2 linked regions of the Coturnix japonica genome follow. The protein of the gene in region 2 interacts with the protein of the main gene of each other region in a pairwise test. Links are inferred from orthologs where the notes say so. Each region holds a gene or a part of one and is shown on either strand. Other genes may lie near its edges.

The links. The genes of interacting proteins can lie anywhere in the genome.
Region 1: the proteins of FAM161A (region 2) and CDR2 interact in binary tests that used the Homo sapiens proteins (3 or more experiments, as listed by UniProt). The two-hybrid records come from large-scale screens. The link is inferred for Coturnix japonica from reciprocal best matches to the Homo sapiens genes FAM161A and CDR2.

What each region holds. Positions count from the first base shown.
Region 1 is NC_029529.1:8,363,007-8,367,141, forward strand, and holds the start of CDR2 (cerebellar degeneration-related protein 2), read right to left. Parts: upstream 2,818-4,135; 5' UTR 2,607-2,817; coding exon 2,528-2,606; intron 1-2,527.
Region 2 is NC_029518.1:13,367,208-13,371,302, reverse strand, and holds the start of FAM161A (protein FAM161A), read right to left. Parts: upstream 2,807-4,095; 5' UTR 2,684-2,806; coding exon 2,399-2,683; intron 1,930-2,398; coding exon 1,673-1,929; intron 978-1,672; coding exon 1-977. Other genes in the region: CCT4 (T-complex protein 1 subunit delta), read right to left, coding at 3,191-3,205, 3,450-3,563, 4,080-4,095. UniProt on the Homo sapiens protein: Involved in ciliogenesis.

The DNA.
Region 1 (4,135 bases), on a different chromosome or scaffold from region 2:
ATTTCACTTCAATCACCTCCAGGGTACAGTGACTGTAGTTGTTTCATATTAAGAAATAAGTCATCTGAACACCCAGCTCCTTTCTGAAGGGAAGCAGCATGAGTATTGCTAGATGTTTCATATTATTATGTTTAAAGATGCATGCAATTTAAAAACTAACATAACGTGATGAAATCAATCCTGTGTTATTGCTAAAATAGTAACTACACTGTGCAGGTATTACATGTTCCAAATTCAACAGATTTCTAACGTTACTTTTCACCTCCTTCCCATTACCTGGGTCTGACCAGGTTTCTCCTGCATGCAGGCAGCCTTGTTAGTTCTCATATGGGTAGGGATAGCATCACTAATGGGAAAGAAGCAGAAGGAGGTTCAAGAAAAACCCAGATTCTCTTTAAGATGCCTGAAATGAATACATGAGACATACTGCATCACCCGCTGTTCTAGTTAGACAAGAAAACATTCTCAGTTTTCATGTGATTAAGATGCCCTTGTTTTAAGGTGTTTCTCATCTCCTTCCTGCCCTTCCCCAGTTCCCTTATCAGCTGGTTGCTGTAGCAGACAGAGGGCTGTTCCCAGACTGCTTTGTGCTAACCTTCACTTTGGCAGCATGTCTGAAGTGAGCACTTGGTCCAGATACATAAACCAAAGACTGAATTCAGACCAAACAGAAAAATGTTCCCATTCACTTGTCTGTGTAAGCTGTAGATGTCCTGCTCAGGACAAACAACAGCTGTGGTATCCATTACATGTACTTTAAGGTAGGAAACAACGGGCTGTAGCTGTCAGATGCTTTGAATAATGTTTCTGGAATTTATTTACAACAAATCACCCTGCATACAAGTTCTTGTTAGAGCTGGGAGCCGCGTGGCTCGCTGCTTTACACTTCGCAGTTTATCCTCACATAGCTTTTTTGTTGTAACACCCCTTGTTAAGAAACACAGCCTATTTCAGGGCTTTTTCTCAAACTGCTACCCCTAGAAAAGGAAAGAATTGAACCAATCTGACCTGTTCTGAAGTTAACAATTTATTGTGCACCCGTGTCTCTACATTGCAGATACCTACAGTCAAATGTAGAGTGCATTCTCCTGATACAGGAGAACACGTTTGTCTGAGAGTCACTCTGTGATACTAGAAGCACGCAGCACTTTTATGTGAACATCCTACAACAATTCTGCTTTTTTCCTGTTACCTGTTGGCAGCGTTTCTGTAGCTGAGCAAAAGACAGAACGTGGTACTAAACTCTTATTTTATGCTTTCATAGCCCATCTAACAAAGCAATTCAGATGATTTTTGTTCTAAAAGTAAGTCTATTCAGTAGTAGAATGCCTTTGTAGTACAGGATGTCTAAGTTGAAGTCTAACTGTAAAATTAAACTAAGTGGAAGTTTGTCCAGCTGCTGCCCTCCCTGAGCTCCTGGGCAGGCTGTGAAGGGCTGCAGGTTTGTGTTCAGTGATGTGTCCTCACAAACGCACTCCTTGATTTCTACACGTGCTCTGGTTGGTGGGTTGTGATAAGTTTCACTAGTGCCCAGCCTTGCTGCTCCATTTATGTGCACTTGTGTTGCTTGGTTTTAGAATGATGACTATTTTCCAGACTGTACAAGTCCACTATAGCAGGACGTTTCACAGATGTTCCCTTAAGGAACCTATCTGCATTTCAGCCTGCCCATCGGTTCACTTTCTCCTTTCCCTCTGGCAGGCTGTCAGTGCCTTCCACTTGGGCTCGTGAGAAGCTGATCCTTCGGAAGAGACGTTCCAGGTGCAGGGAGAGCAGTCAGCGACCCCTGGAGCGGAGCAGTGCCCAGCCCCGGCCGGGAACCAAGGGCGAGTATTCGCTCACGGTGGCAAAGAGCGAAGTTGAAGCAGCACGGCAGGAGAGCAGCACGGCTCCACCATGCACATCTTCTACCCCACAAATAACGACGCGGAAAAATACCAAACCCTGACTTCAGATTTTCAGCTCATCCCTTTGACAGCAAACAATGGCTTCAGCACCTCATTTCAATGGATCTCTTTATAACCTGTGGCCGCGGCAGCATCCCGCACACACACACACAGCACGCGGAGCAGCGCTGCCGCCTCGGGACGGTTCCCAGCGCTGCCCTGTGCCTCGTACGGCGGGTTCCGACTCAGCTCCCGCACGGAGCAGCCGCCCGTCCCGCCCGGTCCGAGCTCCGGAGCTCCCGGCTCGTTCTTTCCATCGCCGCGTCCGCCGATGTCTGTACCGCAGATCCATCGCCGTGTGCCCGCGGCTCAGCCGGTACCGTTTCTCCCTCCCGCGTGGTCCCGCCGCCCCATCCCGGCCGTGCTCCATCGGGCGCAGCCCCCGGAGCCGCCCCGCTGCCGGCAGGGCCGGGCACGGCAGCAGCCGCCCGTTCCGTCAGACAAAGCCGCACCGTGCCGGTACCGGCGGTCCCAGCTCCCGCCCCGTGCTCTCCCCGCCGCCGCCCCGCGCTCCTCCATCCGCCCCGTCCCCTCCGCCCGACCCCCCGCCCCGCCGTGCCGTGCCGTGCCGTGCCGCCCACCTTGCTGCAGGTCCTGCTGGTCGTACCACGGCTCATCCTCGCGGATCTCGAACTCCTCCACCAGGCTGTCGGCCAGCATCGCGCTCTCCCCTCTCGGTCCGGTGGCCGCGCTCACCTCGCGCCGGGCGGCGGCGGGGCCGGGCGAGCCGGCAGCTCGTCGCCTTACCAGCCGGCTCCGGGCATTGCCGAGCGGTTCCGGACTTTGCCGAACCTCTCCCCCTTCTGGTCGGGCCGCGCGGAGCCGCCGGCGACAACGTGGCACGGAGCGACCGCCCGCCCACCGCCGGGCCGCGATTCAAACACTACGCCCCGCCTCCTCTGCCGACAGCCAATGGGGAGCCGCCCGCAGGGCAGATCGAAAGGAGCGCCGGCCAACCAGGAGGCGAGTCCGTGGCGGGCGGCCAATGAGAGAGGAGGAGGGGTCGGTCCCGCCTGGCCGGCCCCGCCCCAGCGTCCCGCTGCGCGGCCTCCGGGCGGAGGAGGTCGGTGGTGCCCGCGGGAGGGGCGGCGGGAGCGGGGCCGGTGACGGGGCCGGGGCTGGCGGTGGTGTCGGTGCCGCGGGTTGTCTCGGTGCGGCTGAGGCGGCACGGGGCGCTGGGAGCGGGGCAGGGCGTGGCAGCTGCCCGGCCGTGCTGCTGCGTGTCCCCGCGGGGCGTCTCCTCACGCGGAGCCCCTCATCGCCTCGTGAGGCCCCTCAGCCCCTCAGCTGCTGCCGCTCCCTGTGAGGGCTCTGACAGGACGGCTCCGTCCCTTGGCTCCCTGTGCCGCTCTGTGCGCCCCGCAGTGCCGGGCAGCCCAACCTTCTCCTCCCGGCTCTCCCTGAGCGGTGCCGGTTCTTTGCTGTGCCCGGCGCTGCAGCAGGAGCAGCCGTTGCGCTGTGCCTCAGCCCGCAGCGCTTTGTGCTGTGCGGGGCGGCTCACGCGTGTTAATTGCTGTACAATTAAAGAGCACGTCTGTGGGGCAGGGAGGTGTGTGGGACCTCAGCTCCTCCAGGAGCCGGTTCATAAACGAGCCGTGCCAATAACGCAGGGAGCCGAGTCAGACCCTGCGCGCAGCTGTGAGTCATGGCGCTGGAGGCGCATTGTTCGGAGCCTTTTGTGAAACAAACGATACTTGGGAGTTTTCTGGAGCGACGGGAGCGATTTGTCTCTTATTCGTGCGTAGGAAGGAACTGAGTCAATACGGCTCGAGAATGTTAATGCCCAGCGTGTATCCGAGGGAGATGCCCGCGGTTCTGCACTGGAACCTGCCCAGGGTCGCAGCCCCGAGGTCTCACATACGTTCGGTGTATTTGTGAAGATGTGGATACACCTTCTAACAAGAACACGATGTTTTCAGTAGCGAATCACCCTTCACGTTTTCTTTATATCCCTCTTTTGAAGCATGAACGTTTCACGCGGCCATCGTTTCAATGCTGTTGTTCTTTGTAGGTTTCTCGGTTCAGTTTATGAAGCCGAACTCGTTGGGGAGGTGCAAAGTGTAATCACCTGGAAATGGGAAATTCCGTAACAGATGAATTTGATGACATGCATGACGGCCCCGCTCAATTATCTGCAAATTGAGTCATGTTCTTACCGATAAATGACCTTTGGATGTTGTTAGAGAATT
Region 2 (4,095 bases):
ACGGAGTGCGGAGATGGAACGGCTCGCACACCGTGAGGTGTTTCACCTGCTGCTGCTGCCGGAGCCGTTTCTGAAACTTCTGGTGTAGCCGGTCAAAATCTGGAACGCTGTGTTGGACCTTGGGTTGGCGCTCCGTTTCCTTTGGTTCAGCACACTTGTGTTTCTTCTTGTTGGCATCCTTGGAAGCCAGCCTGCTGGTGGGCACAGATGCATTTCGCAGCAGCTCCTCAGCTCTCATTCTAATCCGGATTTCTCTGTAGAGCTCTTCCTCCTGCAGCTTGTCTCTAACAGACGGGCTATAAACGCACCTGGGAACTGGCTTTGCTTTGAATGGTTTTGTTTGCCTTTCAGGTGTAGAGAGGTCTCTCAATTGCATTTTTCTGATTTCATCCCTTTGCTTCTCTCTTTCAATGAACTTAAACGGCTTCTGAGAAGCCAAGAGCTTGAGTTTGCTCCTCTCCTTCACAGTCTTCCTGCGCTCCTCATTCCTTTGCACGATCTCACGGTAGAGGGGCAGGAAGACGGCAGCGGGCACTGGAGTGGCTCGGAACTTTTTCTGACACTCTGCTTCTTCCTCCAGCTGCTTCTTCAGTAGGTTATTTTCTATCTCAATCTGTGACTTGGATTTGACATTCTGTTCTTTTCTTCTGGCTTCTCTAATTGTCATCTGGAAAGGCTTGGGCACCGTGACTTTTGGTGACCATGCCTTCTGCTTCTGTCTTGTCCTGGCAGCCGGGGCTCTGGGCAGGCTGTGCTTCCTGGGGGGAAGGTAGTCATCCACCGAGAAGCCGTCCCACATCCTTGCAATCCTCTCCTTAGCAAATAACAATGATCCGGTTTCACTGCAGCTGTCTTCAGATGGCAGTTCTCTGTTGGACTCACCAGACACACCTGAGCCAAAGGGATCGCTAATGCTGGAGTCAGAGAAGGATCTGGGCAGACTTAGAGGCTGATACGTGCTCTTCTCCCAGGTTGGCCTTTAAACAGAGGGGAAAAAGAGAAGTTGGTTTGAATCCATTCCAGCATTGATTTGAAGGCAGTAAACTGTTTTCAGTGCCCTCACTAGAGGGAGAAAGATGAAAAGCACTTGCAGGGTATATAGCAAACTGCTGATCACAGCCTGAACCTCTGATTGACCACCTGAGGCAAGCAATGAGTCAGCTGGGGGAGCACAGGTGAAGGTAATTCATCTGTGCTACCAGAAGGAGTTGAGCCTGGCTGCACCTCTCCCAGATCCCATTTAAGGGCTGACCACCACTAAGGCAGGATCTCTTTGTCTGGAGATTGTTCCTGTGTGGAGTTTACTGCAAACCTTCAACACTGGTGAGCGTTTCCCATCATCATAGATTATCTTTCTATCATGATACGAAACATCTGTTTAATCTCTGTTTACTTATTGACTGTATAACTGCACAGAGGGTGAGAGAGGGAAGGGAAAAGGGTAACAAGGCACTGTGCTTTATTAAATGCATTGCACAGATTCTGCTGTGGGCATACTTGTGAGTGTGACAGCCTGCTAGCAAAGTGAATAAGCATTGTAAGAACTGAAGCTGACCTCGCTGTAATTATCCCTTTACAGGAAAGGGGGAGAGCAGCAGTTCCCAGCCGCAGCACATACCTGCCCCATGTACTGCAGCCTGCAAAGGTCCTCCAAAGGTACCACAGAACTTACCTACAGCAGACATAGGAAGTTGCACTGTTAGTGTTGTTCCTCTCCAAAAGCTTCACTCCTTGTAGATACAGCTTGTTCCGATACATGCTTTCTAATTTAGCCATGGTCTCCATGTGGGCATTCTTCAGCTCCTCCAGCTTCAGGTAATATTCCTGGTTCGAGGTGCCCAGCTTGGAGAGCTCTGTCTGTGTGTCACAGCCTGTGCCCGGGGCGATGGGCTGCTCGCTGCCAGGGCCCGGCTCTGTGCCCAGCTCCCCCTAGGGATAGAGGAGGCATTTCTGTGTCAGGCTTTGTGGTTCAGAGGGAAGAGGAATGAGGTTTATAGCGCTGCTTCATTTTATTGTCTCATGAATGAAATGCTACCGCCGAATTTCATACCTCTTACCTATGCACAGACTTTAACACACGCTGCATGGAACAGTCTTCCTGCAGTGCCTTATGGCTTGAGACTGCCGTTTATGGGAAGTTAAATAACGAAGTCTGTCCCTGTGAGCCCTTATCCTTGTATCGGGAAATAGATCCAGAAGGATCTTTTGGAAGGGAAAAGTCCTTTTCTTGCTTAGAACACAGCTCTAAGACAGCCTTAACCGGCACCTCCCCCGCCCGTTTCCATAGCCGCTGTAAAGCGAAGCCCTCCGCTGCTCCTCCTAAGCTCCTTACAGCTCTGCGGCCCATCTGCTCCGCGTCCCACCGAGCCCGGCCCGGCCCCGCCGCTCCCTCCGTTACCTGCGCGCTGTGCTGCGGATCCCGTGGGTTGTGGGCAGCGGGCGCCCGGCTGTGCGGCTCCAGGGGAGCACGGGGGCAGGCGGCGGGCGGCTCCGCGCTGTGCGGAGCCTCCATGGCTGCGTGCAGGGGCGGGGACGTGTCGGGACGGGAGAGGCGGGGCCGCAGGGCCCGGTACCGCAGGGCCCGGTACCGCAGGGCCCGGTACCGCAGGGCCCGGTACCGCAGCCGGCTGCAGGGCACGGGGCGTCTGGGGCTGTGTGAGGGGGCGCGGCTGGTTCCGCTCATTGGTCACCTCCCGTTCTAAGAGGTTTGAGCTCCAGACAAATGGGGGATTATTAGTGAGTACGGGTAAACTAAGGTCAGGAATGGTCTTCTACCTCTTGGAGGTGGAATCATTGAGCACTGAGCCCTGTTAGCACCATGGGATGGCCGGGCCACAGCCCAAATGGGGAACACCTTGTAATGGGAAGCAAAGCCTGGATCAGCTAACTATGCTATGTGAGCTGCAATGATGTGGAACGCTAATGTAAATGCTAATTTAATTCAAACTAGTGAAGTCGACCTCCTTTCTAGTGAAATCATCAAGCAAAGACTCAAGTAGACTGGTGCCTGTTTATTGATAAACAGCATTTCCTTTCCGAAACCAGGAAATGTATTAAATTAACATGAGAAAAGTACATATAAGCATTCGTGGACTTTTAAGACAATTCACACAGGCGCTTCTGGTGAGGAAGCTGCAGCTCAGACCATCTGAGGAGCTGCAGAGCACAGTCCCAGCTTCCTTTATCCAGCTTATCGAGTGTTCACCTGCAAAAGCACAACAGCACATGTGAGAGGTCCACACAATACAGTAACAATGACTTCTTTGCTTATGTATTGTTACAGTCACTGCAACATCTTGCTTTAAGGTACCCTGCTTATGCCAATAGCAGTTTAATTCTCCCGTGCCCTGTTTTTAGATGACCAAATGGTAGAAACAGCTGATAGTATCATCTGTGTTTCCACCTATTCTGGCATTTATCAACAAGAACGTGATACAAACGCTACTCACCACATCGTCAATCTTAAGAATGCTGCGCACAGTTTCTGTTGCCAGAGTCAGGGCGCTCACAGACACGAGCAGCGGCTGCACCACCAGCTCCTCCAGGATGTTGGAAATGCCACCCTGCAAGAGGAAGGCACCATCACTTTGTGCACGTGAGCCTACAACCACGTTTAACACCTTCTAATAGGATCCCAGAAGTGATGCTGTGCTGAGTTAGACTATCAATTAGCTTGCACGCTTCAGTTCTCAACAGGAATATTACTGTAAAGGGCTGCTGCTGAGTATCTGATGTATCCACTCAAAGTGAGCCAAGAGAAAAACCAGCCATAGCTGTTAGCAGTTCAAACAAGACGCTGTCCCAGCAGTACTGCATGTACTACCCCCAACCCTTCTAACCACACCTGCCTGCTTTAAGTTCACTGTGACTCCAGCTGGAAAACTGTTTTTGAAGAGAAATGTGAAGGTACCAGAACGCCATGGATGTAGAATGAGAACCTGCCATTAGCAGTACTCAGGGTAAGTTCCTAACTTTAGCAAGAATTTTGTTCTCTGTATTTCAGATTTCAGGTAGTACATCTTCCTTTTAACAGCCTATTTATTTAAGCTACAGAGTTCTATGTACAACTTCTTCATTACCTTTCTGACATTAATG